Oryctolagus cuniculus: one gene and its partner. The main gene of each other region encodes a partner of the protein of the gene in region 2 in a complex. Links are inferred from orthologs where the notes say so. Each region holds a gene or a part of one and is shown on either strand. Other genes may lie near its edges. The genes, in order: LEP and LEPR.

Evidence for each region.
Region 1: the proteins of LEPR (region 2) and LEP are in contact, whole or in part, in a crystal structure (PDB 7Z3R), measured with the Mus musculus proteins. The link is inferred for Oryctolagus cuniculus from reciprocal best matches to the Homo sapiens genes LEPR and LEP. Residues at the interface, in NP_666258.2 of Mus musculus: Tyr439, Leu440, Thr441, Arg466, Ser468, Leu469, Tyr470, Gln499, Pro500, Ile501, Phe502, Leu503, Leu504, Ser505, Val560, Phe561, Glu563, Asn564; in NP_032519.1 of Mus musculus: Lys26, Val27, Asp30, Thr33, Leu34, Lys36, Thr37, Thr40, Arg41, Gln92, Gln96, Asn99, Asp100, Glu102, Asn103, Asp106, Leu107, Leu110.

Annotation. Positions count from the first base shown.
Region 1 is NC_091434.1:164,683,957-164,699,313, forward strand, and holds the end of LEP (leptin), read left to right. Parts: intron 1-4,249; 5' UTR 4,250-4,277; coding exon 4,278-4,421; intron 4,422-5,872; coding exon 5,873-6,232; 3' UTR 6,233-9,295; downstream 9,296-15,357. UniProt on the Homo sapiens protein: Key player in the regulation of energy balance and body weight control. Once released into the circulation, has central and peripheral effects by binding LEPR, found in many tissues, which results in the activation of several major signaling pathways.
Region 2 is NC_091438.1:107,181,640-107,198,069, forward strand, and holds the start of LEPR (leptin receptor), read right to left. Parts: upstream 7,230-16,430; 5' UTR 7,099-7,229; intron 1-7,098. UniProt on the Homo sapiens protein: Receptor for hormone LEP/leptin. On ligand binding, mediates LEP central and peripheral effects through the activation of different signaling pathways such as JAK2/STAT3 and MAPK cascade/FOS.

The DNA of each region.
Region 1 (15,357 bases), on a different chromosome or scaffold from region 2:
GCTTAAATGTTCTTCCTTCCATTATAGTTCATTATGTAAATTTCTTTTTCTTTTCTTTTTTTTTTTTTTTGGAGCTAGAGTGTGTGTGTGTGTAAAGAGTTATTTATTTGAAAGACAGAGTTACAGAGAGAGAGGTCTTCCATCTGCTGGTTCACTCCCCCAAATGGTTGCAATGGTGGAGCTGGGCCAACCCGAAGCCAGGAGCTTCTTCCAGGTCTCCCACTCTGGTGTCAGAGCCTGCGCACATGGGCTGTCCTCCTCTGCTGCTTTCCCAGGCACATTAGGGAAGCTGGATGGGAAGTGGAGGAGCCAGGGCTTGAACCAGCACACATACGGGATGCCAGCACTACAGGTGGTTGGTTAACCCACTCCATCACAGCGCCAGCTCCCTTCAAGCAAATTCTGAGACTGATTGCTTAAGAACTCTGCTTTGGCTTTTGCTTTTATTTTTGCAGACAATCTATATATGTATACGTAGTTGGCAAAGTCAGATGATGTGCCCCTCTACCCAGGCTTCCAAGGACAAGACCTGGCCTCTGACCCGATCTGCCCCAGACCTGCCTCCCGCTTCCCAGGGACTTTCCGTCCATCTCTGCGCCTGGTCTAGGATGGACGGTTGCTGCATGGCAGCTGCTGGCCCTAAGCACGTGCTAAGTCCTCGTGCTCCATGGGGCTGTGTTTGCTGTCTTGAGTCATGGCTCCGGTCCCTGGTCCCTAAACCCTGACCTGCTAGCCAGCCCCAGGCCATCATCGGGCCCCATGGGGACTGAGATGCAGGAGAACCGAGGCAGACTGCTGTCCACTCCCCCCTGCTGGCCCTAGCAGGGGACATTAGCTCAGTCAGCATAAAGCGTGGCTGTGTTGAGCAGAGTTCCAATAGGACAGCGGCTCTCGAGGCGAAGGCTGTGTGTCTCGCACAGTACAGCACGGCACGGCACGCACCCAGTCAGGCAGGCTGACTCAGCGGCCACTTCTCCATTCCTGTGATTGATGTCCATGTGGGCTGCTGGAGGTTACCAGTGTGAGGGACGGGCTGCCCAAGCTGTTTGTCCATTCAGGTATCAGAGGGGACTGTCGTTATGTGACCGTGACTAGGACCGGCGCTAATCTGGCAAGAGATGCACTTGGGAAGCAAGGGGTCATGAACACGTAAGTCTTAGGAAAGGAAGTGGAGTAGCCAGGACTCGAACCAGTGCCCTTATGGGATGCCGGCACTGCAGGCCGGGGCTTTAACCTGTCGTGCCACAGCGCCGGCCAGTGCTGCCATTTAAAGAGAGCAAACAACACAAAGCATTCTCCCAAACTACTTAGTATTTTTCACAGTGGAAGTTGACGCAGAGGGTGTGACTTCACAGTCTCAGCCTAGAGAGGATGTGAGCTGCCAAGCCCCGTGTTCCCCAGAGCCAGCCTGGATGAGGGATTGGGGTGATTTGTAATTGGAGAAGCAGGTGGGGCGCAGGGAGCCCACCAGCCTGGCTGCCCAGGAGGCCCCGAGTCCAGATCCTGGATGCTCCGTGTGGCTGTCTGCCACTGGGGAGACTGATTCGGCTTCCTGAGCCTCCTTTATCTCTCCTCTGTAAAACTGAAATCGAAACGCTTACCATTGTTCAAACGTGGCGACTAAAGCTCCATACGCCGTGTTTATGTGTGTTACGTGGCCAGAAAATGCATCAAACGGATGTTGCCACCTATGGACGGAAAATGTAGCACCTGCTTCCTCTGGGTCCAGAGGCGGGAGACCGTGGAAAGCCGGGACGAGCTTTCGCCATCTCCGGCTCCTCCGTCCCCTTATTTGCTAGCATCTTGGTTTTGTTTCAGGCTCGCGCACGGGCTGCAGACTCACGCGCACTCAGCTTGATTGCCTTTTGCCTCGCGTGTCTCATTAAGTTCCAGCAAGGAACTGCACATTTTTACTTTCGTGATTCGCGCCTCCTTGGCTTTGACAGTTTAACGCGCCGGGTGCACGTGTGGTTCTTCCCACCTCGGACCTCGCCCCAGCTGGCTGCTCAGCTGCCTGTGGCCACCACCGTCTGCCCTCCCCGACCGCTGCCCTGGCTTTAAAGCCCAGCTCAGGTGACACTTTTTCCAGGGAGCCCTGTTTGCTGTCCCGTGATAACTCTTTTTTCCCGCGTGGGAACGGCTTGTCTGTGTCCCCTGGGATGCGCTAACTGAGCTGGCATCATGGCACAGTGGTTTAAGCTGTCCCTTGAGATGTCACATTCCATACTGGACGGAACGCTTCCCATCCGGCTTCCTGCTAATGCACACTCGGGGACACAGCAGATGATGGCTCAAGGACTTGAATCCCTGCCACTTAAGAGGGAGACCCAGAAACTGAGTTCCTGGCTCCTGGTTTCAGTCTGAGCCCCAGCTCTTGGGGAGTGAACCAGCAGATGGAATAAGTCTCTCTCTTCCCTCTCCTTCTGTGTCTCCCTCTCCCCCTACCTCTTTCCCTCCCCCTCCTTCCCTCTCCTTGCCTTTTAACATATATATGAGCCTTTGGGAGTCGAGAGCACCTGCTGTCCACTGCATCCTTGGCGCCCAGTGATGCCTCTGACATATGCCTCACCAGATGGTTCTAAAGTGCTGGCTGGGTGAGAAAGCAGGTGAGAAAGGCCAGGGCCGAGAGAGCAGGGCTGCCGTGAGGGCCTTGGACAGGACAAGGCAGCCCCGTCCTCGCCAACAGCAGGCGGTGAGAGCACATTTCTCAGCGCCATGGAGCCCCTTCACGTGCATTTTTTTCCAAAGAAAACCTTTTATTTAATGAGTATAAATTTCATAAGTACAACTTCAGGAATACAATGATTCTTCCCACCATACCCGCCCTCCCACCCACACTCCCACCCCACCTCCTCCTCCCTCTCCCATTCCCAGTCCATTCTCCATGAAGATTCATTTTCAATTAACTTTATACACAGATGACCAGCTGTATACTAGGTAAAGATTTCAACAATTTGCACACACACACACACACACACACACAACTGTTTGAAAATAAGTTTTACTCTCATAATACAAGTTAACTCTCATAATACAACTCCTTGAGGACAGAGGTCCTGCATGGGGAGTTAGTGCACAGTGACCCCTGTTGTTAATTTAACCATTAACACTCTTACATATGACGTCAGTGATCGTGTGCATTTTACCTAAATTGATGCTCATAGAAGCCTGGAGATGGGCCCATCACAGGGATGAGGGTGGAGTTTTTAGTCACTCTGTGATGTGCCTAAAGCTGTTCTTTAAAGATTTATTCATTTGAAAGGCAGGAGATGGCCGGCGCCGCGGCTCACTAGGCTAATCCTCCGCCTGTAGCGCCGGCACACCGGGTTCTAGTCCCGGTCGGGGCGCCAGATTCTGTCCCGGTTGCTCCTCTTCCAGTCCAGCTCTCTGCTGTGACCCGGGAGTGCAGTGGAGGATGGCCCAGGTCCTTGGGCCCTGTACCTGCATGGGAGACCAGGAGGAGCACCTGGCTCCTGGCTTCGGATCAAGACGGTGCACCAGCACACTGACCACAGCGGCCATTAGAGGGTGAACCAACGGAAAAAGGAAGACCTTTCTCTCTCTCTCTCTCTCTGTCCACTCTGCCTGTCAAAAAGAAAAGAAAAAGAAAAGAAAGGCAGGAGAGACGGAGAGATCTTCCATCCACAGGTTCATGTTCATTCTCCAAATGGCTGTAATGGCCTGGGCTGGGCCAGGCTGAAGCCAGGAGCCAGGAACCCCATCTGGGTCTCCCACAAGGGTGGCGGGGGCCCAGATACTTGGGCTAACTTCCTCTGCCTTCTGAGGCGCATTAGCAGGGAACTGGATTGGAAGCCTAACATTCAGATGTGGGACGCCAGTGTCACTGGCAGTGGCCCCCAACGCTGTCCCCAGTGTGCCTGATGTTATGCAGTGTGAGTGGTTAGATTCAAACCAGACATTAACAGCTTTTCCCTTTGCCTTGAAGCAACCCTGAAGTCTGTGCTGTCACCACCAAGTGCATTTGGTCACAGTCGGGCTGGCTGCTCTGGGGGCCTGCGGGACACCTCGCCGTGGTTTTATGGACCGGACAAGAATCTTCTTCCAGAAGGGACGCATTTCATTAATAGACATCTAGATAAAGGCTCAGCTTTGGTGCAGAGGAGAAAGTAGCCAGAGTACAAAGCAGATCTCAGTTCATCCGCGCTAGGCAGTGTGGCTGGTAGTGGGCAGATGGGCACAGTCTGAGCTACTGGCCTCTGTAATGGGTGGTGGTTCCTTCTGCCTTCAGGCCCGAGAAACACATCCTGGGAAGGAAAATGCGGTGTGGACCCCTCTGCCGACTCCTGTGGCTGTGGCCCTGTCTGTCCTGTGTTCCAGCTGTGCCCATGCGGAAAGTCCAGGATGACACCAAGACCCTCATCAAAACCATTGTCACCAGGATCAGTGACATCTCACACACGGTACAGAGGCTCCGGGGACCAAGCAGGACCGTGGCCGGAGAGCACCCTCCGAATGCCAGCGCCTCCTGGCAGTTGGGGGAGGTTTAAAAGCATGGGGCTCCTGTTCAGTCTCTCTGCCTGCTGGGCTTCGGCAGTGAGCGAGTGGTTCTGATGCTAACCCACTCCAAGGGCGCTGAGGTTTGCCAGGTGTTTCTGTGAACGGATCGCAGGAATCTGATATCACAAGGACGCGTAAGGCAAGCTGGGTGCAGAGGTTAACGGAGGGACATATGGTGACACCCTCAGGCTTTGCAACCTTTGCTCTTCCTGCTGCACGAACCACCGCCTCTGCCTGTCCCTTCTCCCGTGGGCTTGCCCGCTTCCTTCAGTCCTGGTGCCTGGGGCTAGAGCAGCCTCCAAACCTCTGTCACCGGGATTCTCGCAGGGGCAGTTGGACTAGCTCTGCAAGCTTCTCTCTGCCCTTTCACTCCTGCATTTCAAGGCCACGTGCAAGAGCAGGGCGACCCTGGTTCCCATCGGCCCATGCGGCTGCACCTGGCTTTCCCTGGGCTTTCCTCTGGGGTCCACAGGCCTAGCCCTTCGGCTGTTGCCTCGAGGAGATTTGTCTGTGGAGTTAGGAAGACTGGCTGTGAGTCTTCCACATCTGCTGTCTGTCTGAGATCTTCAGCTAGCTCCAAAACGCCCTTAAGCTCTGGCGTGGTCATCTGCATGATGGCGATCAGATCATCTTCCCAAGGTGATTATCAGCCACTTACATGACCACTGGCACATGGTCACTGTAGATGTTTGAAGTGACTGTGGGTGGCCAGGAGGTGCCAGAGGGGCAGAAGCAGGGACAGCTCAGCTCCAGACAGAATCTTGGGCATTTCATAGAGAGAAACCCTTAAGTCTCCTGCTTTCAAAACAGTCCCTCCACAAGGCCGTCCCAATGTAGCTGGTGACAAGACTGAGTGTCAGGCCTTGAGGACTGGTAGAACCCCCCGGCAGCCAGAGCCACCGGAGCCGAGGAGGGAGGGGGGTCCCCATCAGGGGTGGCCTGGACCCCTAAGGAGGTGGGTGCATGAGAACCTGAATGGGAGCCTGCAGAGGGAGGGAGGGAATGAGGGCAGCAGCGGCTGGGGGTGCTGACTGAGGAACCCAGATGCTTGCGAAGAGGCTAAACTCAACCAGAAACATGGAGATGCGGCTGATTCTTGCGCAGGGGCCATTTGGAGAAAGGAATGACCAGAGAAGGCCGGTCTGGAAGTGGAGGAAGCAGTGGGTGGGAAGGGTGGGCATCCAGGAAGCCAGGGGTCCCTGGGCACAGGAAGAGGGCACCTGGGCCAGGTGGTGAGGAGGGAGGCAGAGGTGACGCGGAGAAGGGGTCTTCAGGCTCTGGGGAGCAGAGAGCCTTTCAGATCCACGTCTCTCACGCTTGCTCAGCGCTTGTTCTGCGTCTTCTTCCCACGCAGCAGTCGGTCTCCTCCAGACAGAGGGTCGTCGGTTTGGACTTCATCCCTGGCCTCCACCCCAACCTGAGCTTGTCCACAATGGACCAGACGTTGGCCATCTACCAACAGATCCTCGCCAGTCTGCCGTCCCGAAATGTGATCCAAATAGCCAACGACCTGGAGAACCTCCGGGACCTTCTGCACCTGCTGGCCTCGTCCAAAAGCTGCCCTCTGCCCCGAGCCAGTGGCTTGGAGACCCTGGAGGGCCTGGGAGGCGTCCTGGAGGCGTCACTCTACTCCACGGAGGTGGTGGCCCTGAGCAGGCTGCAGGGGTTCCTGCAGGCAATGCTGCAGCAGCTGGACCTGGGCCCTGGGTGCTGAGCCCCTGGGGGCTGCTCTTCCCCCAAGGACCACGCTGAGGAAAGAATCCTGCTCCTAGGGTCCCCAGGACAAGAGAGCCGCATGTGGACGTCCCTTCTCAGCACTCTCTCCGTGTCTCTCGCACTCCTCCAAGCCCTTCCAAAGCACAAGACTCCATCTGGCTTAGAACCAAAGATTGCTCTGCACACCAAGAAGGAGGGGGATGCCCCTTCCAGCAAAGAGCAGGCTTCAGTCATCAGCAAGAGCCATGCTGTCTCTCTCTCTCTCTCTCTCTCTCTCTCTCTCTCTCTCTCCCCATCCTCCAATGGGATCCAGAGAGCTTCAGGCTGGGGGCGGAGCCTTTGGACCATCAGAGCAAAGCTCCCCCTGGGAATTCTGGGGAGCGGCCTGAAGGCTACATCCACACGTGGCTGGAAACGCCCAAGCAGCCGTGGTGGGGGGCACGTGTTTATTTATTACGTGTTAGATTCCGAATGGACCTGAAGCCAAGAGTCAACTTTTCCGGGCTCTCTGGGGTCAGCCAGGGCTGAGCATGCTCCTGGGCTGCGGCTTCCAGTCCCGGCGAGGGGTCTGGCCGAGGCAAACCCTTGTTCAGTGACTTGAGGGCTGGGGTTGACCGGGCAAGGGGCCACCGAGGTGGCTGTCATGTTCGGTCTCTGCTAACTGGTGTTGTGTCTACTGTGATTGGCTTCGAGTGACAGTGTTTGCAATGGCATTGCCCTGAGTGGATCTCCAAGGGCTGGGTTATTTTTAGAAGCAGGTTAATTTCGGCAGGTGTTGTGTGTAGTTGTGTGCACCTGCTGGGGGTGGGATGTGTCGGTGGGGGAGGGGAAGGGTCTAGACTGGGTTTCCTAAGTGATGCATGTTTGGTGGGCTCTTTGGATGGGGTGAGGTCGTTTCCTTATCTTCTGCAGCCACTTAAGATGGTTTTCTTGAAAATAACAAAAGAGGCCGCTCTTTGAAGGGACTTGTAAGGATTTGCACGTTCCTTTGAGGGAGGGGGCTGAAGGTGGAGGCTGCTGGCTGGGGCAGCTGTGAGCTCAGACAGCAAGAGTCCCACGCCACACCCTCCAAATGAACAGTTCACAGGTGGCCCCGCTCTGGGTTTACAGCATGGCTGTGTCCCTCTGTCCCTATCCGGGGGTTGAGTGCCAAATTATAGTTCTTGTCTGATTGGTTCATCCACAGCAAGGTCATGTTCCCTACCCATTCCATGGGGATTCTTATTCCAGTGGGAAAGGGAAATCCTTCAGCAGGTGGTCCTAAGCAGTGGGCCAGAGCGTTTGGGTGGGTGCCAGAACGCCAAGCCAGGCGTCATCCTGGCCACTGGAGGTCAGGTTCGCAAGGATGAACCAGGAGGCTTGGGTTTTTCCACCATCCTGCTGCCATGATGCTGCCGTCACACCGTGGGTGGTGGATCTGTCCAAGGAAACTTGAATCAAAGCAGTAAACCTAAAGACTGAGCACCTGCCCCGTGTTCAGCCCTGACCGGTGCTGTGAGCTAGGGGAAAGCTCACCAAATAAATGTGCAAATCCAATCCTGCCCTAAGGGACCTGACGTTCCCACGGCAAAACCCCACTTGCTGGTTGCCAAGGCGATGGTCCACCACGGCAGCCCACAAGCTGAAAGCACAGTGTGGCCCCCAGCAGGTGCCATGTGGAGTGATCCGAGAGTGGCAGTGCCCGGGGGCCCACAGGGAGCCCTGCATGTACTCTGTAGCTTGTGTAGACTTTTAGGACACTGCTGGACCTAGTGCTGTGTAGCCACATCTTTTTTTTTTTTTAAAGAGAGATTTATTTATTTATTTTTTAAACTCAGAGTTACAGGAAGAGAGGGGCAGAGAAAGAGATCTTCTGTTCGCTGGTTCACTCAGTAAGTGGCCACAACAGCCAGGGCTGAATCAGGCGAAGCCAAGAACCAGGAGCTTCTTCCAGGTCTCCCACGAAGGTGCAGGGGCCCAAGCACTTGAGCCGTCTTCTACAGCTTTCCCAGGCCATCAGCAGGAAGCTGGATTAGAAGTGGAGCAGCCGGGACTCGAACGGGCGCCCAAATGGGAGGCTGGCATCGCAGGTGTTAGTTTTACCTGCTGCGCCACAACATTGGGCCCTAACCACATCCTTTTGGAGCAGTATACCTGAAACTTTAAAAACAAGAAATGACAGGTTGAGTGTTCCTAATTCAAGATGCTTAGGACCAGAAGTGGTGCACACTGGATTTCAGAATATTTGCATATGCATAATGAGACATCTGGGGGATGGGATCCCCAGGTCCAAACACCATATTCATTCATGTTTCATATACTCTATACACATGGTCTGAAGGCAATTTTACATAATGCTTTTAATAACCGTCTTAGACAAAGCTTCATGGCGTGGCATTTTCCGCTTGTGGGATCATATCGGTAGGTGCTCGGAACATTTCAGCTTTGGGAGAATTTTGCATTTTCAAATTCAGGATGTTCGACCTGTCCCTAGGACTGTAACAGCCAACAGGTGGCAGGAGCAGGTCTGGAGCCCAGAGCGTCCCTCACCCCGGGTAACGCTCTCAGGGCAGGGGACACGGGAATCCTTTCTGTATGTGATCTTAGTCAAAAGGCTGAGAAGTGATGGGAGTGCTTTCTGGAAGAGAGACATTTTGCAGGTGCTGAGGGAGGTGAGTTCGCTGCAGGAAGGAGGTGGTTTTGTTGGACGCTTGGTGTGTGCAGGTGCATGGGTGTAGGAGACGGTGGGAGGTGCAGAAGAAAGAAGTAGGAGGGAAAAGGACATGTTGAGGGGCAGCTGAGGGCCGCAGAAGTCAGATGGTCAGACAGCTGGGACTCGCAAGTTCCGGAGCAGAGGCTGGGTGGTGGCCAGGGTGGAACCTGCCCAGAAAACCGTGACTTAGGTCATTGCTGCCTCTGCACTGGGCTGAGGCGTCTCCAGCTCTCTGCTCTCAAAACCTGGCACAGTGTGAAACTCCCCAAATGCAAGCGATTGTCTTCCTTCCTTTTTTTTCCCCCCATAATTTAAAAATGTTTGTTTTACTGAAAAATAGATATTTAAATAAATCAACTTCGCCCCCTGGTTTTCGTTTGCTGTCGCCTTTTGGGGTGTGTGGGGGCTTCAGGAGAGCTGTTTGTGTGTGACAGGGCAAGGCCTGGCTGGTCTGCAGCCATCCCTGGGGTCAGCCCCGCCCGGGCTTGGCCACAGCCAGCTGCTGGTTATTCAGGCGAAAGGATTACCCCGGCGGGCGCGCAGAGCTGGCCAGGGAGCTTGGCCTGCGCCAGAGGCGGTGAGTGGCTGCAGATCAGCCCCAGGCAGCACCAAGATACCCCCCACCTGCACCCACTAAAGTGCTCCCCCCATCCCCGCCCGCAATCAGCCAGACGGAGAGCGTGCAACCCAATCACAGACCCAGCCAGGTACAGAGGGCAGAAAAGACAGAAACCCAAGGCAAAATGACCTCAAATAAAAAGAGAATGGACTGAGCCACGTGGCCCAGAAACCCAGGCCCTGCCTTCTCTGACGGGTCTCTCCTCTGTACCTCTGTGGTGGTGCCCAGGGTCTCAGACACGCCTTTCTCATCAGTGGTGCCCATGAACCCGGTCGGCAGGGCTCTTACCAGCCAGGCCTTCATCATGTGGCCATACCTGTTGCCAAGGAGGGGTTGGGAGTGGGGAAACAATGAAACTCCTCCTTCTGCCTGAAAACTGTCTTTGGCTCTGGCCCCAGCATGCCTTCCAGAATGATCCAGAATGATCCAGAATGTGCCCCTTCCCCTCTTCATGATGGATCTTCCCACACTGGTGATCAGCGCTCCCACCTCTCCTGCACTTCCTGAGGGGTATCATCTCAGAAATGACTTGAGATGGCTGTGTACCACGCCCAGGGTTGTAGAACTGTTGAGCGCCAGAGTGGGGACTCCAGTCCCGGTCGTAGGCCCCAGCACTCCAAGTGCATCCTTAGGGACCCCCACGGGCCCCAGCCAAGGCCTGACAAGTCCAGTTGCGGCGTCTACAGGAGACAGAGCAGCCTGGGGGTGCCCAGTGCGGTACCCACCCCACATTCCCCTGCCACCTCCCAGCCCTAACTTTCTCTCTTTCTGTTTTTAAAGACTTACTTATTTACTTGAAAGGCAGAGCAACAGAGAGAGGAGGAGAGACAGAGAGAGGTCTTCCATCTACTGGCTCACTCCCTAAATGACCACAACAGTCAGGGCTGGGCCAGGCTAAAGCCTGGAGCCGGGAACTCCACCCGGGTCTCCCACAGGAGGGTGGCAGGAAGCTGGATTGGAAGCAGAGCAGCCGGGACTCCAATCGGTGTTCTGCTATGGGATGTTGGTGTCACTGGGGTGACCCCTAACTTCTCTTAAGCATGGGGGAAATGGCAGCAAAGAGGACTGCGTCTATGAGTTGGAAAAGCTAGAGTCCCTGGCCAGATCCCAGAGCACCCAGAGGATGGGGCAAAAAGGGCACTCTGAGTTAGAAGCATTCTGTTCTAGGGCCAGCAGGGTGGCCCTGCAACACTGGCATCCCGTAGGCAAGCACTGGTTCGAATCTGGGCTGCTCCATTTCTGATCTAGCTCCCTGTTAATGCTCCAGGGAAAAGCAGCAGAAGGTGGCCCAAGAGCTTGGGCCCCTGCACCCATGTGGGAGACGTGGAAGCAGCTCCGGGCTTTGGCCTGGCCCAGCCCTGGCTGTTGTGACCATTTGGGGAGTGAACCAGCGGATGAAAGATCTGTCTGTCTCCACCCTCCACCCCACCCCCACCACCACACTGTCTTTCAAATAAACTTAATAATAATAATAAAGTTATCTGTTCTGACTTTGCGTGACTTTGGATGGTATCTCTCACTGCCACTCAGATTAGCCCACGTGTTGTGCCCACAGCATCTCCTTAAATCCCGCCAGATGGATGCTTGCAATAAGGAAACAAGGGCTAAGCCAGGTTCACTCTGTGTCCTGGACCAGCCCCGCTGGCACCAGGACTGAAGCCCTGGCTCAGCACAGCCAGCTCCTGAGCCGTGGCCTCTGTCCTCACCCTGAGAGTGACGGCCAAGGGCAGGCCTGTAGGGTCCTTCTGTTCTATGAGTCCCTGAAGGTGACATCCAGGGAGAGAGGGTTGGGAGTGGCAGTGTCCAGGGGTGCAGGGCTGAGCCAGGTCTTCACCCCCAGGGCCCTAAAAAGGTGCGGGAGCCGTGATCCAGCCCAGTCGCCCACCTGCCTGCCATGGGGCGGGGCTTGGTGCCGCATGAGCCCTTGGCGGGCCATCTGGGACAGTGGAGCCGCTTTGCTTCTGAGTCTGGAACGTGGCTGAGAGCCGCGTGGGGAGACACGGAGGCCTCTGTGGAGGTGACTCCCAGGCCCTTCAGGTCCCAGATCTGCCTCTATTTCAGGGTTCTCTCGGGCTCCCCTAGGGCAGCAGCTCGCCCCTGCCAACAGCTGGCAGCACCTGGCCACACGGACCCTCCAAAGGCGTGGCTTTGCTGAGCTGGTGCAGAAGCAGAGGCGGGGCCAGCACAGCAGGCTGCCTAGCTCTGCTCACAGCACACAGCACACAGCCAAGGAGCGCACACCCCTTGTTACTCCAAAAGAGAGAGAACGGTGTACTCCAGGCCGTAGCAGTGGGGTCAGAGCCCAGAGGTGTCCCCGGAGGGGGGGGGGGCTGCCAACTTAGCCTCTCACTCCTGAGGATGATGGGATCGGGGAGGCAGAGCAAGGCAGCAAAGCCCCTGTGCCCCAGCACCCAGCCCAGACAGCGCTCAACCCTTACGCAGTTTCCGCAGCCTCTCAGCGTCATTGTGTCCACTTCACAATGAGAATGAGTCCTTGGGAAGATTTGATGCTAAAGCATTTGGGAAGATATTAGCCCAATGCCTGGCATTGCCACTACTTTTTTATTATTTGTTTATTTGAAACGAACAGTGACCAAGAGCAAAAGAGAGAGAGACAGACACACACAGAGATCTTCCACCCATACTTACTTACTTTATTTATTTATTTGAAAGGCAGAGGGTTAGAGGGAGAAGGAAAGACACACACACACACACACACTCAGAGAGAGAGAGAGAACTTTCATTATCTGCTGGTTCACTACCCAAAATGCCTGCAATGGTCAAGGCTGGGCCAAGCCGAAGTCAGGAGCCTGGAGCTCCATCCTGGTCTCTCACAAGAGTGTCAGGCGCCGAAGGACTTGGGCCCTCTTCTGCTGCATTCCAAGGCACATTAGCAGGGAGCTGGATTGGAAGCAGAGCATCAGGGACTCAAACTGGTGCTGTCATATGGGGTGCCAGCTCCCCAGTGGTGGCCTAACTGCTGGGCCACACACGGCCCACCTCTGCACTCACTGAAGCCGGGGCCTGAGCATCACTCCACTTTCCTGCGCTGGCCAGCCCTCTGACCCCAGCCCACAAGGGGCAGCCAGAAAGTGAGAGGGAGTGAGTGAGGGTCGCAGAGGAGTGAGTCTCGGCCCAAGGGGAACGGGGGTCTGCAGCGAATGCCCCAGTCTCCTGCCCTCTGCAGGTGCGACTGCAAGGTGCCTTCTCCGGTGGGACCGAGGCTGCGTGCCGGCACCAGCAAACAGGTCCGCAAGGCCCTGCCCTTCCCTCTCGCCTCGTGCTTCCCAGGGATGCCTCCCAAATAAACCTGCATGAGAATCCTCACGGCAGGCCTTGCTCTCTCGCACAGAGTCCTGAAGTAGTACAACGGCCAAGAAAACAGAGCCGAGCTCGGATGCTGAGGACTGCAAAGGGAGGTGCAGCCACGCGCGAAAACCCAAGGAGAAGCTGTGCCCGCCAGGGGAGGAAGTCACAGAGGGAGGGAAGCAGGGAATGACTGCTGAAGATCCCCTTGCCAGGGCAGCAGGCGAGGCCAGGGCGAGGCATCCACCCACCCTCCATGATCCCTTGGTGGCCAGAGGCCAGGAGCCTCCTTCCCATATGGGCAACCGTTTGTGTCTGGGCTCCGCTTCTGATCCAGCTCTCTGCTGTGGCCTGGGGAAGAAGTGGAAGATGGCCCAAGTCCTGGGGCCCCTGCGCCTTCGTGGGAGACCCGGAAGAAGCTCCTGGCTCCTGGCTTCGGTTCGACCCAGCTCTGGCCGTTGAAGCCATATGGAGAGTGAGTGAACCAGTAGATGGAAGACCTCTCTCTCTCTCACTCTCTCTCCGCCCCCCGCCTGTAACTCTTTCAAATAGATAAATAAATCTTTTTAAAAAGACAACTTTGAGATAACAACGGAAACTTGAATGTGGATTTTATTTTAGATGATGATGAACAATTCTTGTTGATTCTCTCAGCTGTGACAATGGCCCAGTGTTAATGGCTTTTAAATGCTTCCTTGGCTGTTAGTGTGTTAGAGGTGCAAACTGGCTTAGATTAGGGTGAAATGGCATGCTACCTCAAAATGCTTCAGAAAATATATATATATATATATACAACTACATATATATGTATATAAATATTAGAGCAATTCAAAAAGTTCCTGGAAAATGAAATTGAAAAGTTCAGGCATTGGTGCTGTGGCACAGTGAGTTAAACTGCTGCCATATCAGTGTACCAGTTCCAGTCCCGACTGCTCCACTTTCAATCCAGCTCCCTGCTCATGCACCTTGGAAAGCAGAGGAAGATGGCCCAAGTGCTTGTGCCCCTGCCACTGCTGTGGGAGACCAGGATGGAGTTCCAGAGTGCTGGCTTCAGCCTGGCCCAGTTGCAGCTGTTGCAGCCATTTGGACAGTAAACCAGTGGGTGGGAAGAGCTCAATCTCTCTCTCTCTCTCTCTCTCTGTCACTCTGCCTTTCAAATAAATAAATAAATATTTTTTAAAAGGATAAGTTTATTTTGGTGCATTTTGAAATCCATGCAGACAAAGGGATTCCAAAAATTTTTTGGCAACTGCATATAGTGAAAAAACTGCGCAGCTTTCAAACAACATTTTTTGTACCTAAGTAAATAAGCTTCTCTTTTAATTTCATTTTTCTGTTAGAGCTAGCTGGCAGGGATGCTGGAGTCTGTTTTATGGGGCCCTATACTTTTTTTTCCTGAGGTTTGTTTTTTTTTTTTTTTTTTTTTTTTTTTTTGAGCCAGGAGCTTCCTCCAGGTCTCCCACATGGGTACAGGGGTCCCAGCACTTGGATCATTCCCCCACTGCCTTCCCAGGAGCATGAGCAGGGAGCTGGATCGGAAGTGGTGTAGCTGAGACTCGAACTGGCACCCATCTGGGATATGGGCATTGTAGGTGGCGGCTTAACCCGCTGAGCTATAATGCCAGCCTCAGAACCCTCTACTTTTGGGTAAATTTTCCAGAATAAACACTTTGGGGAAGATGTGGCTGAGCCCAGACCCCCCCCCCACACACACACATTCTGCATCCTGGGAAAGAGGGAGGAGGAGTGATATGGGGAACTGAGGGGGAACTGAGCTGGGTTCAGCTTCACGTTGAATTCCACTGCTTGGAGCATGTCCCCAGGCGGGGGGGGGGGGGGTGCAGGCCGTCAGCGTGAGTGTGCCACAGTGAGCTGCCACAGCGATTTAGCAAATCAAACAAGGAGTGGCAGGAGCTGGCTGCAAGATGCCGGAGAGGCACATCCCAGCACTTGTAGGAACGAGCCAGGGTCATCAGAGCCTGGAGATCAGGCCCCTCCCTGCTGGGCTTCTGAGCCCGCGGGAGCCGCCCACCCCTCCCCAAGGAGGACTCGTGGCCTGCGCAGTCACCCTCCATATAAACAACCCCGTGCAGGGGGCAGAAGCCCTCAGACAGCTGGGAAGGGGAGAGGGATTCCCACTCCCTTTCCTTTGCATATTATGGTGGCCTCGGGTACCTTCTCCTCCCTTTCAAGACCTTGCGCGTGGGACTGTGGCTGCAGCCTTGTCCCATGTCGCCCCTCCCAATGTCCACGCAGCCATCTGCCCACAACTAAGAAAGCCTGCTGAATTCAGGAAATCCCCACAGGGCCCAATGGGAGGTGACCCGAGGCGTGGGAAGTGCCCTCCTCCGGGCTTCCCCCCAGCCAGTGCAAGCCGGGCCCTGAGCAGTGAGGCCTGCTGCACCACAGTGGAGCCTTCTCGTCCAAGATACATGTTTGCTCATCACCCAGCATCCCTAGCGTCTCACGGGTCAGAAGACCCCTCCTTGGTGGCCGTCACTTTTGC
Region 2 (16,430 bases):
AGAAACTTTTTTATATGTGGTATGTCACAAATTTTAAGAACACAATGTTCAAGACGGCACTGTGGCTCAGTGGCTTAAAGCCACAGCCCGCAACACCAACATCCGGAATATGTCCTGGCTGCTCTCCTTCTTTTTTTTTTTTTTTTTTAAATACAGAGTTACAGAGAGAGGTAGATTCAAAGAGAGAGAGAGGTCTTCCATCCGTTGGTTCACTCCCCAAATGACAGCAAGGGCCAGAGCTGAGCTGATCCGAAGCCAGGAACCAGTAACTTCCTCCTGGTCTCCCACATGGGTGCAGGACCTCAAGGACATGGACCATATTCTACTGCTTTCCCAGGACATAGCAGAGAGTTGGATCAGAAGTGGAGCAGCTGGGACTCAAACCGGCTCCCATATGGGATGCCAGCACTGCAGGCCAGTGCTTTAACCCGCTGTGCCACAGCACTGGCCCCCTGCTCCACTTCTGATTCAGCTCCCTGCTAATGCACCTGGGAAAGCAGCAGAAGATAGCCAAAGTCCTTGGGCCCCTATACCCTTGTGGGAGACCCTGAAGAAGCTCCTGGCCTCTGGCTTTGGCCTGGCCCAAAGCCAATTTGATAGGAAGTGAACCAGAGAGTGGAAGATCTCTCCCCCTCTGTCGCTCCTTCTCTGTCTCTGTAATTCTGCCTCCCAAATTAATAAATAAATGTTTTTTTAAAAAGGACACAATGTTCCTGTATATTTTTAAATCCATCTTCACAATATCATTAAAAGGTAGGAAATGATAAATATTTGCTCAATTTTACAAGTATAAAAATATAGTCATGCAGAAAGCTTAAATACATTAATGGAAAAGCTATTGCCAAGCCCCAGCTATCCTGGTTTCTATTATAGAAGTTAGCTAATAGATTCAGTTATGTCAATATCAGGCAATCTACAGAATCATAGGTCAGGGGAAGCTTAAAACTCAAGGGATCATTAGGGAATGAAAGAAGTGTAGGATACTCACAGAAAAGCACAGGGGAAATTCAAAATGAAGCCATGAAACACACATGCAGCCCTGGTAACAGTGCCTACAAATGGGAATACTGACTTCTCTGTTTAATCACTTGGGGATATTGAAATTATGTTTAATTAATTATGTTTATTCGACAAATGACACAAAACTGGAAAGGTCTAATAAAATATTGAATGACAGATCTCTCCTGCACTCTCTGTCTCCTCTCCTCCTCTCTGTCTCTCTCTCTTACAGTCTCCTTCTCTTTTTTCCTTCGCAGCCCCTTCACTCCGGTCTGTAGGGTGTTCCCAATAAACCCTTTCCCTTACTCCGGTGTCCGGTGTGCTTTGCAACGGCTAACATTAAGATATAACATTGGTGCCGTGACTCAGATAGCCTTATATTGGTAATCCAGCATCCTCCACTGCTCTGGGGTCCTGGATTTCTGCTGGTCACAAAGCACACCTCTGGAACTCTTTCCAAGCCACAGAATGGTCTGCAATCTCCATCCACACATCGGCCTTCCAAATTTTGAGGTAAGATGCGGAACGAAAATTCCTCACGGCGACTGCTATTTGAGTGGTGGTCTACTGTTGGATACTCTCGTAAAGGTCGTAGCACTGGACTCTAGCCACCACTCTTACTTCTACTTAAGGCCTTTAGCCTCTACGGACACTGTGTCCAGGCAACAGTGGGTGCGAGTGACGACTCCATCTCTGTTCGCCTCTTTACAGGCTAGGCCCTGGGCTCCAGTGGGCACTTGGGTGACGACCCTGCCTTCTGCTCCCATTCTTCTCTTAGTCAGACTGCCAGGGCTTCAAGGACACTTGCTGTCCACCGATCTGACCTACTGAGTCGCCATGGGAAATTTCTCCCGCATTCCATCTGATTCTCCTCTTGGTTGCCTTTTAAGTAATATGGTCCCTCTCAAATTGGCCCCAGCCCTCAAGCAGAGACACCTAATCTTTCTCTGTAATCGGGTGTGGCCCAAGTATGACCTTGACGGTCAACCGGGATGGCCCCTCCACGGTACCTTTGACCCTGATATCATTCAGGACCTTTAACACTTCTGTGAGCATTTGGGAAAATGGAAGGAAATTCTATATGTTCAAGCCTTTTCCTAATCTTCGAACTGAACTTTCCCTATGTACTTCTTGCTCTCCCGCTCAAGTCCTTCTGGTCTCCAAGATTCGCACTAGGGGGCAGAAGCCTGAGCAAAAAATCCTTTCTTCTGCCCTGATCCTGTCATCCTGCAGATGAACTTCCTTATTGCTCCAATCTACAGGCACCTGCTCAGCCGCCTCCTGAGGCCTCAGCGGCTGAAGTTCCAGCGCCATTATCCCCCTTGTGGCAGCTGTGTCCTCACCTCCCCCTCCTGCTGAATTCCAGGGGGTGGTGTCAACCTCTTCTGTCCTATCTGAAGCCCCTTGCTCAACTATTTCTCAAAGCCATTCTCTGCCCACGTGTACTTCCTCCGTAGCTCCTACCCCCATTCTCATGATATCTCCCCCTCCCACCTTAGAACCAGTCCTGGCCCAAAGTCTACTATCTCTGGGAATAGCAGTCTCCATGGTCTCCAACTGGTCTTTTGTCCCTCTCTTGTCCCAGTCTTACCATAAGAATAGCAAGGGAATGGTAGTCCCATCCTTTGGGCTCCCTGCTTATTGAGAAACAAATTAGGTATCCCACCATTCTGATGGCTCTTTTGTTTTATCATGAGCAAGCCAGACAGAAAAATCAGATTTCCTGTGTGGACCTGGCTCACTGTAATTTTTCTTTAAATCTAGGAATACCACTACCTTTGAAACTATTGCTTTGTAAAATGCTGAATTTCTTTTGCAATTTATTTTAACAGGTTTCTGGGTAATCAGTACTCAATGAAACAGCAATGGGTAATTAGTACTTGTCTTAGATGAATGCAATTTTAATTTTAATTAAATTCAGATATATGAGATATCAGCATCTTAAGTCATTTAGGTGTAACTGCTAATTTAAATTGGGTAAAACTTTTGTATACTCAACATGTTATATTCTATAAAAAAACTATTCGGATTAGTTTACAAACTGTCTATGAAAATAGTTCAACACTGTTTAAAGTAACTCAGGCTAAAACTTGATGCATTACCTTAATCTTAATTTGAAGATTTTTAACAGCTTATCTCAAAATGTAAATCAAGGACATTGGCAGATGGAAAACATCACAAATATACTCATCTGTTTCTCTTTGACATAAAATTAAGATCTGATTCTCTGTTAAAGCAATGTGTTAAAGTAATTATTATATTCTCTTGATGTCTGTTAAATTCTAATTGTTTAAAAACAGCTGAAATTTTTATTAAGAGCTATAATTTATTTAAATATGTGCTTATTTTCAGACATTTAAATAATTACCTTGTAACAATGATCCAATTTGGTCTATATTATGTTATGATGTTAAAGAATCTTACTTCAACCAGATATTTTGGATTTTGAGCCTTCTTGATATTCTTGACAGGCATTCAAAAAATCAAAAATCAAAGTTTCAAAGAATTTGGACTCTGAAATTTCCAGTAAATTTTTGACTTTGGTTTTTCCAGTTCGGGCTATTTGGACTATATTAGAAGTACTGTCAAGATGTGAAGTGGTGCTAAATTTTAAGTTTCTATAATATAAAATGGCACTAATACAAATGTCTGAGAATTAAAAAGTCTAATAATCTTGTGTTACTAGACATAATGGTTATCTTAATGAGAAAGCCCCAGAGGCCTAAAAGAGTTACATGCTTTGTAAAATCCTGCTTTCAGAAATACTGTGTGCAGTAAGCAAGTGCCTCTTGTTGGTTAATGAATTTATAATTTTAAATGTGGCAACTTAAAGTCTTTTGTCATCCACAGTTTGGTATATCAGATTTGTTGCTCATAAAACTAAAGCATTGTTGGTTCTGTGTTTAGCTGTCTTCCTATAGGTTTGATGAACTTTTTCCAGCCACTTGTATTGTATTCAGTACTTTGGGATGACTCTGTAAACAGATGAAGCCAATAATATATTAAAGGTACCAACTGTGAGAACGTATGGTTAGCTGAGGTTACTAAAACAAAAGTAATTCAAATCAATTGGTAATTTACAAACAGGAGTTAGATTTTTAAAAAAGCTATTAAAACTGTTTTATTGTTCTATCTATTATGTTGTGTGTGTATACATATTATATGTCTACATGGGAAAATTTACTAAGAATTTTATTTTAATTGGCTTATAGATAAGATTGTCCATAAATTTAAACAGCTAAAATAATTCAAAGATACATTTTAATTCGTGTGACCTGAATATCTGTATCATATGTTTTAAATGTGTTGGTAGAAAAAACTAGAAACATTTTATATGCTTGTGCTGAAATTTGCTGGTTAAACAAGCTACATCATATTAGATATTTAAGAAATGTTTCCAAATATATGTATTCTTAAAATTTATAGAAGGCATTGGACATCAGGCATGATGATTGGACATTAGGCATCAGAAGCAATGGGTGGCAGGCCTGTTAATGGCTGCTCTGTACAGTGATCTGCCCTCAAGGAGACCCAACAGGCCAGTCCATTGCAGCGGCTTTCAATGTGGTAAGCCTGGGCTTCAGCAGAAGTCAGCTTGTGAAGAGCCCTGGCAGCTCTGCCAAGAGTTGGATCAGTGGAAATGGAACTGCCCTGGAGTCGAAGGACACCCAGGTCAGAGCCACAGATCTTATTGGCTCTAAGCTGAAAAGCCCTTCACTCAGCCCAGCTTTCAAAGTGACCACTGCAACTGAGGAAATGGCCAAGTAGGGTCAGTAACATTGCAGGCAGAGCTGTATATTTCCTGTTGGAGTTGCCACCTGCCTTTACCTGGCCAGCTCTCCTCCCTGGCCAGCTAGGTAATGGAAGTCAACAGGGTGCCTTCCCCAAGGAGGTTCACACCTCCCTTAGGATGTACCCTATGTAAAGAGATAGGTCTGGGCCTCTTAATTTACAAGGCCTAAAGCCCACCAGATTATTATCGAGCCCCTTCTGTCAGGTTCTATTTGCCTCTCAATCAGAAAACTTATGTAGCTTAGACAGAACCTTTCTTAGCTCCTCTAATAATGACTCTGTCCTTTGTTCTAGACCCTGTCTAGCCTGCTTGGGTTTCATTCCTTTGTAATCATAACCTCTACATCACCACCAATGGCTCTACTCCCAACCTGCCCAACCTGTGTGTACTAATGGTCCTCTCCCCCACTTAATGTTGTATGATTGTTCAAAATTTCTCTACAGACAAACCCCACTACCTGTAAAAGTTAAGTGGCTTTTTTCCCAGTCTTGGTTGGAATCAGTTTAAGCCACATCCATCAAACTGTCCCCACAAGGGTCCAAAGACCCCCTCCATTTCCTCTCTATAAAATCCTCTTATTACCTGGTTAATGCTACTCTTAGGATCATTGGTTACTATTCTCACCCTGTCTTCTATACTGCAGTGTCTAAGTGTTTATAGCAGGTGATAATGGAACAAACGAAGGCCTTCAGCAATCAGGTGGTCAACCAAATGCTGCTACGGGAATATACTCCCCAACCAGGAGACAGCAGCTTGAGACATCGCCCCATGTCAGCAGGAAGTAGCTCTAAAGACAGATCATCGTCCCTCTACCCCTCCTGGACTTTTGGGACTAATGTAACCCCATACAAATCCTGCTTTATAAAAAAAACAAAAGGGGGGAATGTTAGGAAACTGGCACAGTTTTAGCCAGGTGGCCACATGGCCCAGCTACCTGAGCCAGGCTCCACCCCCATCCTAATGGGATTCGCTGCTCCTGCTTCCCTGCCTGCCCTCAGGCAGAGTTTTAAAAGGGCCTGTTCCTGAACACGTGCTCTCTTGGCCCTTCTCTCCTGCACTCTCTTGTCTCCTCTCCTCCTCTCTGTCTCTCTCTCTTACAGTCTCCTTCTCTTTTTCCTTCGCCGCCCCTTCACTCCAGTCTGTAGGGTGTTCCCAATAAACCCTTTCCCTTAAAAAAAAAAATATTGAATGACAGAACCAAGAATTCTGGCTGGAATTATTGCCTGAAATTTAGCCATAATAAAATTTTGCACAGATTTTTAAATTTCTTAATTTTTATATAAAATTCAAATTTATGAACACAGAATATAGGGAAATCTGGATAACTGTCATACTTGTTTTAGTTTAGTTTACTGCAAATAAAGAAATAATAATACCATTTATTAAACACAGGGCCAGACATCATACTAAGCACTCTATGTTTTTTGAAGATTTTCTTTCTTTATTTATTTGAGAGATAGAGTTACAGACAGTGAGATGGAGAGAAAGTTCTTCCATCTACTGGTTCACTCCTCAGATGGCCACAACTACCAGAGCTGGGCCAATCTGAAGCCAGGAGCCAGGAGCTTCTTCCAGGTCTCCTACATGGTTGCAGGGGCCCAAGGACTTGGGCCATCTTCTACTGCTTTCCCAGGCCATAGCAGAGAGTGGGATCAGAAGAGGAGCAGCTGGAACTAGAACCAGCACCAACATGGGATGCCGGGGCCACAGGCATAACCTACTGTGCCATAGCGCCAGCCTCACTAAACATTCTAAATGCATTGTGTTAATTCTCACAATTCTAAAAAATTTGTACATCATCAACACCATCTTCCTTATGCTATAGATGAGAAAACTGATAATTTGAGAATAGGAATGCCTGGATTGTGATAGCTAGTCAATGCTGAAACTAGGGGTAAAGTCAACCTAACTTCATATATTAATCAATAGGCTGCTGTAATTGTTTAGAAGCAAATGCTATTAACAGAAGACTCGAGACTCTTGGCAACACTCACATTGCAATCTCAGCTCCACTTCCTATTCAATCTTCCTTCTTATGCACACCCTGGGAGGCGGCAGATGGTGGCTGAAATAGCTGGGTCCCTGTCACCCACAGAGGAGATTTGGATTGAGTTCTGTGCAGCTGGTTTCAGTCTGGCACAACCGTAGCTGTTGTAGACATTTGGGAAATGAACGAGCAAATGGAACATCTTTGTCTAAATATCTCTCTCTCTCAAATAAAATTAAATAAATAAGCAAACAATTTTCAGACAGATAAAAATTAATTCTCTAAAAAAGAAATAAAAGAATATGTCATCTTTACTTACAGCCAGAGCTAAATGACCCAGAGGAATCAGGGTAGTTGGATGGGAAAAAGTGAAGGGACAAACACTGCATGCTAACGTCCTTGGCCACTCCACTCTCTCTTGCAAATGACAGCCCTGTTTATTAATTCCAGCATCTGGCCTGAGCTGCTCTGTTTTACTACCTCACGCTGACACGTCTTTGGTGAATGATTTTCTCCCTTGTTTTTTTTTTAAAGAAAGATTGATCATGCCTCATATTTACATGATGTTCTGGAGACCTGAGTTGCTCTTTGCTTTAGCTTTTGAAACAGATTTTAGCGTCGTGTATTTATTTACAAAGGCAGGGAGCGGGGAGTTGTGCTGTGTTACCAACATTTGGAGATTCTTCTGGAAGGATGAAAGAGTAATTGCAAACGAACCTCAAGCTTCACGGAAGTATTTGGTGCATTCTGTTTGTAGAGGGATGAAATCTGATTCTCTGAGCTTCTCCTCTTGACACATTTCTGCTCAGACAGGTAAAATTATGAGATTTTTCTAATTTCACAGGATGCTACATTTGTATTACAGCCTTTGTAAGATTTTCTTTTCTTTTTTTTTTTTTTTTTTTTTTGCTTTCAAACTTTTATTTAATGAATATAAATTTCCAAAGTACAGCTTATGGATTACAATGGCTTCCCCCCCATAACGTCCCTCCCACCCGCAACCCTCCCCCTTTCCCACTCCCTCTCCCCTTCCATTCACATCAAGATTCATTTTCAATTCTCTTTATATACAGAAGATCAGTTTAGCATACATTAAGTAAAGATTTCAACAGTTTGCTCCCACACAGAAACATAAAGTGAAAAATACTGTTTGAGTACTAGTTATAGCATTAAATCTCAATGTACAGCACACTAAGGACAAAGATCCTACATGCCTTTGTAAGAGTTTCACAACATGCAATGTATGAAAGTCAAAGTGTGCTCTGTGCCCCCTGCCACTCTTCAGGCCTATACCCACCTCTCCTAACCCCTGACCAGGCCGTTTTCTGCTCAGCCTTTAGGTCTTTGCTTAAAGATGTCACTTCTTCAAACCTATCCTGACTACCTTGCAGTCTGCATTAGATCCCTCTGTTCTACCATTTTCCTTCTTCATCTCAAAATGTGTAGTTTTGTGTTTACCTATGTGGTTATAAATTTGCTTCTAACTAAAGTATAAAATTACAGTTTTATATTGTTTTCCTAACAATATAACCGAATGCAGGATTTGGCACATGGTAAGTGCTCAATAAGTATTTGCTGAATGAATTAGCGCTGTCTAACTTTTTAGGTCATTAAATCAGAGAAAAAAATTCAATTAGGGGCGGCAACGTGGTGTAGCAGGTAGAGTCGCTGCCTGCGGTGCTGGCATCCCATATGGGCACCAGTTCGAGTCCTGGCTTCTCCACTTCTGTTCCAGTGCTCTGCTATGGCCTGAGAAAGCAGCAGAAGATGGCACAGGTACTTGGGCCCCTGCACTCACATGGGAGACCCAGAAGAAGCTTCTGGTTCTTGGCTTTGGATCAGCACAGTTCCAGCCTTTGCAGCCATCTGAGGAGTAAACCAGCAGAGGGAAGACCTCTCTTTCTCCCTCTCTCTCTCTCTCTCTCCCTCTATTCTCTGTAACTCTTCCTTTCAAATAAATAAATAAATCTTTAAAAAAAAGAATTCAAGTTAAATTCCTAATATGTTACATCACCTCTACAAGCAAAAAGTTAAAAAAATATTCAACTAAGTCCCTCACTTCAGCTTTTTTTTTTTTTCATCTTTGGTCCTCATCTCTTTAAAAGCATGGCATATAGAATTTTGTTTGTGAGTAGATCCTTCTTGAAAAAATGATTCTCTGTTTGTCCATCAAAGATTCAGTCAAAGGTCTTTTGGGAAAACAGGTCAATCAGATCTTTTCTTTTTTTTTTTTTTTTTTTTTTACTGGCCACGTGGACAAAAGCATTCAAGCACAAAGGTCATGAACAACACAAACATTGTAAAGGCACAAGACCTGCCACTGATTCATTGCCGCATTCTCGAATATTTCACAGGACTACACTGTTGTCAAGATGATGTTTTGGGAAAAAGTAAAAATTTAACTAGAAAATGTGGATAACATTTCCAATCATTTGCCTTACAGATTTGCTTTTGTTTTTTTCCATATCTGGATGGTAAAACCTATCACTGTACAGTTATGAAGACAGGGATCAATCCCACGGTGTTCTCCATCTTACTCCTGGTGGCCAGCCCAGAAAATGTTCTCATTCTCAAGAAACAATTATGGAGCAAATAAATGCATCCTACCCTAAGTCTGCTTCTCCTTATGTGGAGGCAAATTAGGAATGATGAAATCAGCAAGGGAAGTTTCATTATAAAATATGCCTGCATTACTTGTTTATCGACCACCATGAGTGTTGTTCCTTACTGTCACTAATAAGGACACCTTTTGGAGTTCCTCTGTAGGAACCACGCTGCCATCAAATGACTATCTGCTTTATTCACTGTACTTGACTTCAAATAATCCTTGACTTCAAATAATCCATTTATTATAAAATATTTTAGGCATTTTTGAAATCAGATAGAACTGCCCCACCATGCCAATTATTGGATAGAGAAAACACTCATTTGGATACTGGGAATATTCATTGTTTATCTTTCATATAAATTTTAATTCTTATCATATATACATAAGAGATTTTAATTATAAATCTTATCAGCAAAGTCACAAACAACACTGGATTATCAGTAGTACATCATCACTACTATATCCCTTAAATTCCAATGTCCCTTTGCTTATTTGGGAAGGCAGCAGGGATTGGGAAGGGGCCCGCTAGACATTTACACTATTCATTTACAATTCTGTCAAGGATACTAATAGCTGCTACTATTAATAAATGCTCTTTCATATAATATATAACTATAAGTTTTCATATATAAAATGCTCTCAGCTGCCCTCATTGGCAGAACTAGAACCAACAGATGGGAGTCAGAAAAGTACTAACTTCAACTCACTGTTAGTAAAGAAGAGCCAACAAATAATAAAATCCTACTTAAAATGTGTGGCTGCCAATTTCTTGGCCTCTGATTTTTGTGCATTTACCAGAGGGGCTTACTGTAAATCCTGAGGTGATATTTGATCTCCTTGGAGATGGTGGTGGACAAGGAGTCATTTTTCCAGCCTCTCTTGAGGTATTAAAATGCCAACATTAGCACAGTGACATTTTGAAGTACAGTGCTATTGTTTAGGGAGGAGTATGCTCAACTAGTAGCCCAGTGGGATTGGAGAGTTTCAAATAAAAACCACAGACTAGAATTTAAGGCGAAGGATGCCAGTGTGCCTAAGGAAAGAGAACCAGGCATAAAGGGGGAAATTTCCTCCCAGAATAACCCTTCTCATTGTGTTGGCCGTATGTCTCGCTTTAAAAGGTTTCCTGTTGACGCTGGCTTTATCTCAGGTCAAATATCACAGCTGTGTGCAGTGTGCATATATCGCACCTGGGTTTCTCCATTTCGGCAGCTCTGGATCGGTCCAATAATCCTTGGAGAGTGAAGAGGCACTGAGGGAGGAAGGAGAATGAGGATAGCTACAGTGTTTGCTGATTGCTGTAAAGATGGGGTGCCCCTGGGAACTCTTCTTACTATGCCCAGACAGGTAAGCTTAACCCAGCTAGAAAAATTATGTATGTATATCACACCCACCCACCCACCCACACACACTGTTACCTATTATACTACTGATCATTCACCAGAAAACATTCATTCTAACTTGACCCAATGCATTAATATACTTAACTAATTTAGTCTGCCATGCTCTTTCTGGAAAGAAAGCTTAGGTGTAAATGTCAAATGTCTCACTGCAACTTGTGATTCCTGCCCTATGTTCCTTCAAGAGAAGCTGATTGGTCATCTGTTGCCAACAGCATAAACTCCAAATTCCCAGGCCCATCTTAATCTGGCTCCACCTAACTTTCTAGCCCAGTAACCATTCCTCTCCATGAACCCTTACCCCAATTACCCAGTCCCCCAAACAACCAGGTGACGTTCTAATCCGTGGCCTTTGCTCATGCCTCTCATCACTGCCACCTTCCAGCTCTGCTCTACACTGTTCCAAACGTCCAGGGACAGCCTCAGGCACTTATTCTCAGTTCGGGTGTGTATAATGGCAACAAAAACTTCCTAAACTGTTACCAATGTTCAAAAAATAGAATTTCCATTATTTTAACCATTGGTTTGACAAAGATATAAAACAAGTTTTACAAGACTATATTTGCTGCAATACTGATACACAAGCATTTCTTTTTTTAATTTTCTTTTTAATTTTAGCTCCCACATACAAGGGAGAACATGCTGTATTTGTCTTTCTGTGTCCAGCTTATTTCGCCCAACATGAAGTCCTTCACTTGCATCCATTTGATGCAAATGGTAGAATTTCATTCTCTTGTGTAGCTGAATAATATTCCATTGTGTATATTCACATTTTCTTTATTCATCTGATGATGGACACTATGGGTGATTCCATATTTTGGCTATTGTGAACAGTGCTGCTGTAAACTTGGTGGTGCAGGTACCTCTTTGATACATTGTGTTCAAGTCTTTTGAGTATACACCAAGTACTGGGATTGCTGGGTAACATGCAAGTCTATTTCTAGTTTTTTAAGAGACTTCCTTACTGTTCTCCACAGTAGCTGCACTACTTTACATTCCCACCAACCGCGGGTAACAGTTCCTCATTCTCTACATCCTTGCCAGCGTGCGTTACTCTTTCTTTTGGATAACAACCATTCTGATAGGGATGAGGTGATATCTCATTATACGTTTGATTTGCATTTCTCTGATAGCTAGTGATGTGGTGCATCTTTTCATATATTTCTTGGTTGTTTGTATTTCTTGAGTGTTGTCTATTGTGGTCTTGTGCCCATTTCCTCACTGAATCAGTATGGGTTTGTTGTTGTTGTTCTGGTAAATTTTTTGATTTTCTGATATTTTGGATGTTAATCCTTTGCCAGATAATTAGCTTGTAAATGTGTTTTCCTATTCTGCTGGATGTTTCTCACTCTACTGTTGTCTCCCTTGCTCTGCAGAAGCTTCTGAGTTTTGTATAATCCAATTTGTCTAGTTTTGCTTTTGCTGCCTGTACTTTGGGGGTCTTATCCAAGAAGTCATCACTTACATCAATATATTAAAGGGTTTCCCCTACTTTTTCTTCCAGCAACTTCACAGTCTCGGGTCTTAAATTTAGAGCTTTAATCCAACTTGGGTTGATTTTTGTATATGGTGAGAGGTAGGGATCTAATTACATTCTTCTACATATATACATCAGTTTTCCCAACACCATTTATTGAAGAGATTATCCATCACCAATGTATGATCTGGGCACTTTTGTCAAAAATCAGTTAGTTGTATGTATGTTGATTAGTTTGTGAGCTCTCTACTCTGTTCCATTGATCTCTATGTCAGTTTTTATTCCAATACCATTCTTTTTCAATTGCTATAGCTTTGCAGTATGCTTTGAAGTCAGGTACTGTAATGACTCTAGTTTGATATCTTTTTTTCTCAGGATTGCTTTGGCTATTCTGGGTCTTTTGTGATTCCATATGAATTGTAGGACTGTTTTTTCTAATTCTGTGAAGAATGTCATTAGTATTTTGATAGGGATTGCATTTAATCTGTAGATTGCTTTAGGCAGTATAGACATATTAAGGATAGTAAGCCTTCCAATCCGTGAACAAGAAGTATCCTTCCATTTTTTGTGTCCTTGATGATTTATTTCATCAATGCTTTATACTTTCATCAAAATTTCTAACTTCTGAAAAGTTGACATGAATGTCTCTACAGAGGACAACAGAGAAGTTCTAGAAAAATTGCACCTGCTGTACTTCTTTTAATTGATTGAAATCCCAAGAGCAGAGGAACATAAGCAATTCATTCTGCCTATCTCCTGATGATCATGTAGTTGTTTTAAGACTCCAGCCCGGGCCAGCACCATGGCTCACTTGGTTAATCCTCCGCCTGCGGCACCGGCATCCCATATGGGCTCCGGGTTCTAGTCTGGGTTGCTCCTCTTCCAGTCCAGCTCTGTGCTGTGGCCCGGGAGGGCAGTGGAGGATGGCCCAAGTGCTTGGGCCCCTGCACCCACATGGGAGACCAAGAGAGGCACCTGACTCCTGGCGTCAGATAGGTGCAGCGCCAGCCGTAGCGGCCATTTGGGGGGTGAACCAACGGAAGGAAGACCTTTCTCTCTGTCTCTCTCCCATGTCTAACTCTATCTGTCAAAAAATAAAAAATAAATTAAAAAGACTCCAGCCCTCAAGGTCCAGGTCCTTATAAATATTGAGTAGAACAGAAACATAGAATGAAACTTTAAAAAATAGAGTGACGTTGCAGAAAATGGGCAAGGGAAAACGGTGGGAATAATCCTAATATATGAGCTATAATATTTTATACAGGAAGAGAAAAAAGAGGAGACTTAGATAGAATTCCTCTCATTGCTTGACCAAGTGGTTACTGGGCCATTGTTCTCCAGTCTGCCTCTGTGGTGGCTCTGTCTACTTAACTGTCCATATCCCTGAGTAGACTATAAGCTCCTTTCAGTGAGGGCTGTGTATTTGTCCCATGACCCCCAGAGAATATTCCAATTACTGTTTTCTTAAATTATTGTCCAAGATTGATATACTGATAGTTGTGAAGTGACCTGCTACATTATAAGTCAATTTCCCTTCCTTTTGTAATTAGAAGTGATCCCCCCCGGCCGGCGCCGCGGCTCACTAGGCTAATCCTCCACCTTGCAGCGCCGGCACACCGGGTTCTAGTCCCGGTCAGGGCGCCGGATTCTGTCCCGGTTGCCCCTCTTCCAGGCCAGCTCTCTGCTGTGGCCAGGGAGTGTAGTGGAGGATGGCCCAAGTCCTTGGGGCCTGCACCCCATGGGAGACCAGGAGAAGCACCTGGCTCCTGCCTTCGGATCAGCGCAGTGCACTGGCCGCAGAGGTCATTGGAGGGTGAACCAACGGCAAAGGAAGACCTTTATCTCTGTCTCTCTCTCTCTCTCACTGTCCACTCTGCCTGTCAAAAAAAAAAAAAAAGTCCATAAAAAGATTCTCAACATTATCATTCATAAATCATTAGGGAAATACATATTAAAACCACCAGGAAATATGACTATGTCCCTGTTGTGATGGCTTATATTTAAAAGCTGGCAATTCTATGCACTCTTGAAATTGCAGAACTGAGGTTTATCCCCAGAAAGATTAAAATTAAGCAAAGAAATATTGAAAAGAATCAAGTCCATAATATTTATGGTTCTGTATCAAATATGCTTCTTTGATACTTTGTGTCGTTAAAATGTTGCATTTTGCCTGTTAAAGAGTTACAGGTTAATTTGTTTTATTTTTATTTTTTTTTTTTATTTTTTATTTTTTTGACAGGCAGAGTGGACAGTGAGAGAGAGAAACAGAGAGAAAGGTCTTCCTTTGCCATTGGTTCACCCTCCAACGGCCGCCGCGGCCGGCGCAGCGCGCTGATCCGATGGCAGGAGCCAGGTGCTTCTCCTGGTCTCCCATGGGGTGCAGGCCCCAAGGACTTGGGCCATCCTCCACTACACTCCCTGGCCACAGCAGAGAGCTGGCCTGGAAGAGGGGCAACTGGGACAGAATCCGGCGCCCCAACCAGGACTAGAACCCGGTGTGCTGGCGCCGCAAGGCGGAGGATTAGCCTAGTGAGCCGCGGCGCCAGCCAGTTACAGGTTAGTTTGAAACAGTGAGCAATTGATGAAGTCTTCTATTTTATTAAAAATTATTTATTTATTTACTTACTTACTTATTTGAAAGGCAGAGAGAGAGGGAGAGGGAAAAAAGAGAGAAAGAAGGAGACAGAGAGAGAGATGCTCTGTCCTGTGCTGGACTCCTCAACAGGTTACAACAGCTAGATCTGAGCCAAGCCAAAGCCAGGAGCCATGAAATCCATCCTGGTCTCCCACACGGTGGCAAAGACCCAAGTATTTAGACCATCTTCCACTGCCTTCCCAAGAATATTAGCAGGAAGTTGGATCAGAAACAGGGTAAATGGGACTCTAACCAGCACTCTGATATGGGATAAAATGTTTGCCCAAGGTGGCTTAATGTGCTGCACCACATCAACTCTGAAATGTTCTATTTGTAAGTTGAAATTTCCTTAAGCTTATTTGCAAGAATGTAACATTTAAAAAATCCATAAATTCAGTATCTTTATAACTAAAGTTGCTTATTTTAAAAAAGATTTATTTATTTATTTATTTGAGAATCAGAGTTACAGAGAGAGAGAAAGGTTTTCCACCCACTGGTTCATTCCCCAAATGGCCTCAGTGGATGGAGTTGGGCTGATCCGAAGCCAGGAGCCAGGAGCTTCTTCCAGGTCACCCATGTGGGTGCAGGAATCCAAGCACTTGGGCCATCTTCCACTGCCTTCCAAGACTACTAGCAGACAGCAGCATCAGAAGAGGAGCAGCCAGGACACCATTCAGTGCCCATATGGGATGCCAGCACCACAGGCAGAGACTTAACCTATTATACCACAGCACAGGCCCAGATCTTTACTTAAAACTGCTAATATATTTAAAGATTTGTGGCTAAAGAAAACTCTAGAATTTACGTAATCACTGAAAGCTCCACGGGGTGGGGAAATGTATTCATTGATCTTGGGAATGAGCTTACCCACAGATCCATTCATATTTTCACGTTAAAAGACTTTAAGGAGGAAGATAAAATTACAGCTAGTGCCCAGGGATATTTTTTTTGACAGATAGAATTAGACAGTGAGTGAGAGAGAGACAGAAAGGTCTTCCTTCCATTGGTTCACCCCCCGAAATGGCCACAATGGCTGGAACTACACCCATCCGAAGCCAGGAGCCAGGTGCTTCCTCCTGGTCTCCCATGCAGGTGCAGGAGCCCAAGCATGTGGACCATCCTCCACTGCTTTCCTGGGCCACAGCAGAGAGCTGGACTGGAAGAGGAGCAGCCAGGACTAGAACCCAGCACCCATATGGGATGCTGGCACCGTAGGCAGAGGATTAACCAAGTGAGTCACGGCGCTGGCCCCAGCCCAGGGATATCTTAATCACACTGCCACTTGGGTACATCCCTAAAAGTAAGATTTCTGAGTTGCATGGTCAGTGTGGGATTAACTGTATTTTAGACTGCCACTTTGTTTTCCAATGTGGCTTGGCCTTTTATGTCTGCCACCCTCACCCCAACACACACACACACACCCCGCCTCCAGCAAATGACAAAGGAAGATGATACTTCCCAGAAACTCTGCCCCCCATGCCATACATTCACCTGTCGAAGCAAATGATATTCCTTTTGCAAAAAAAGCCAT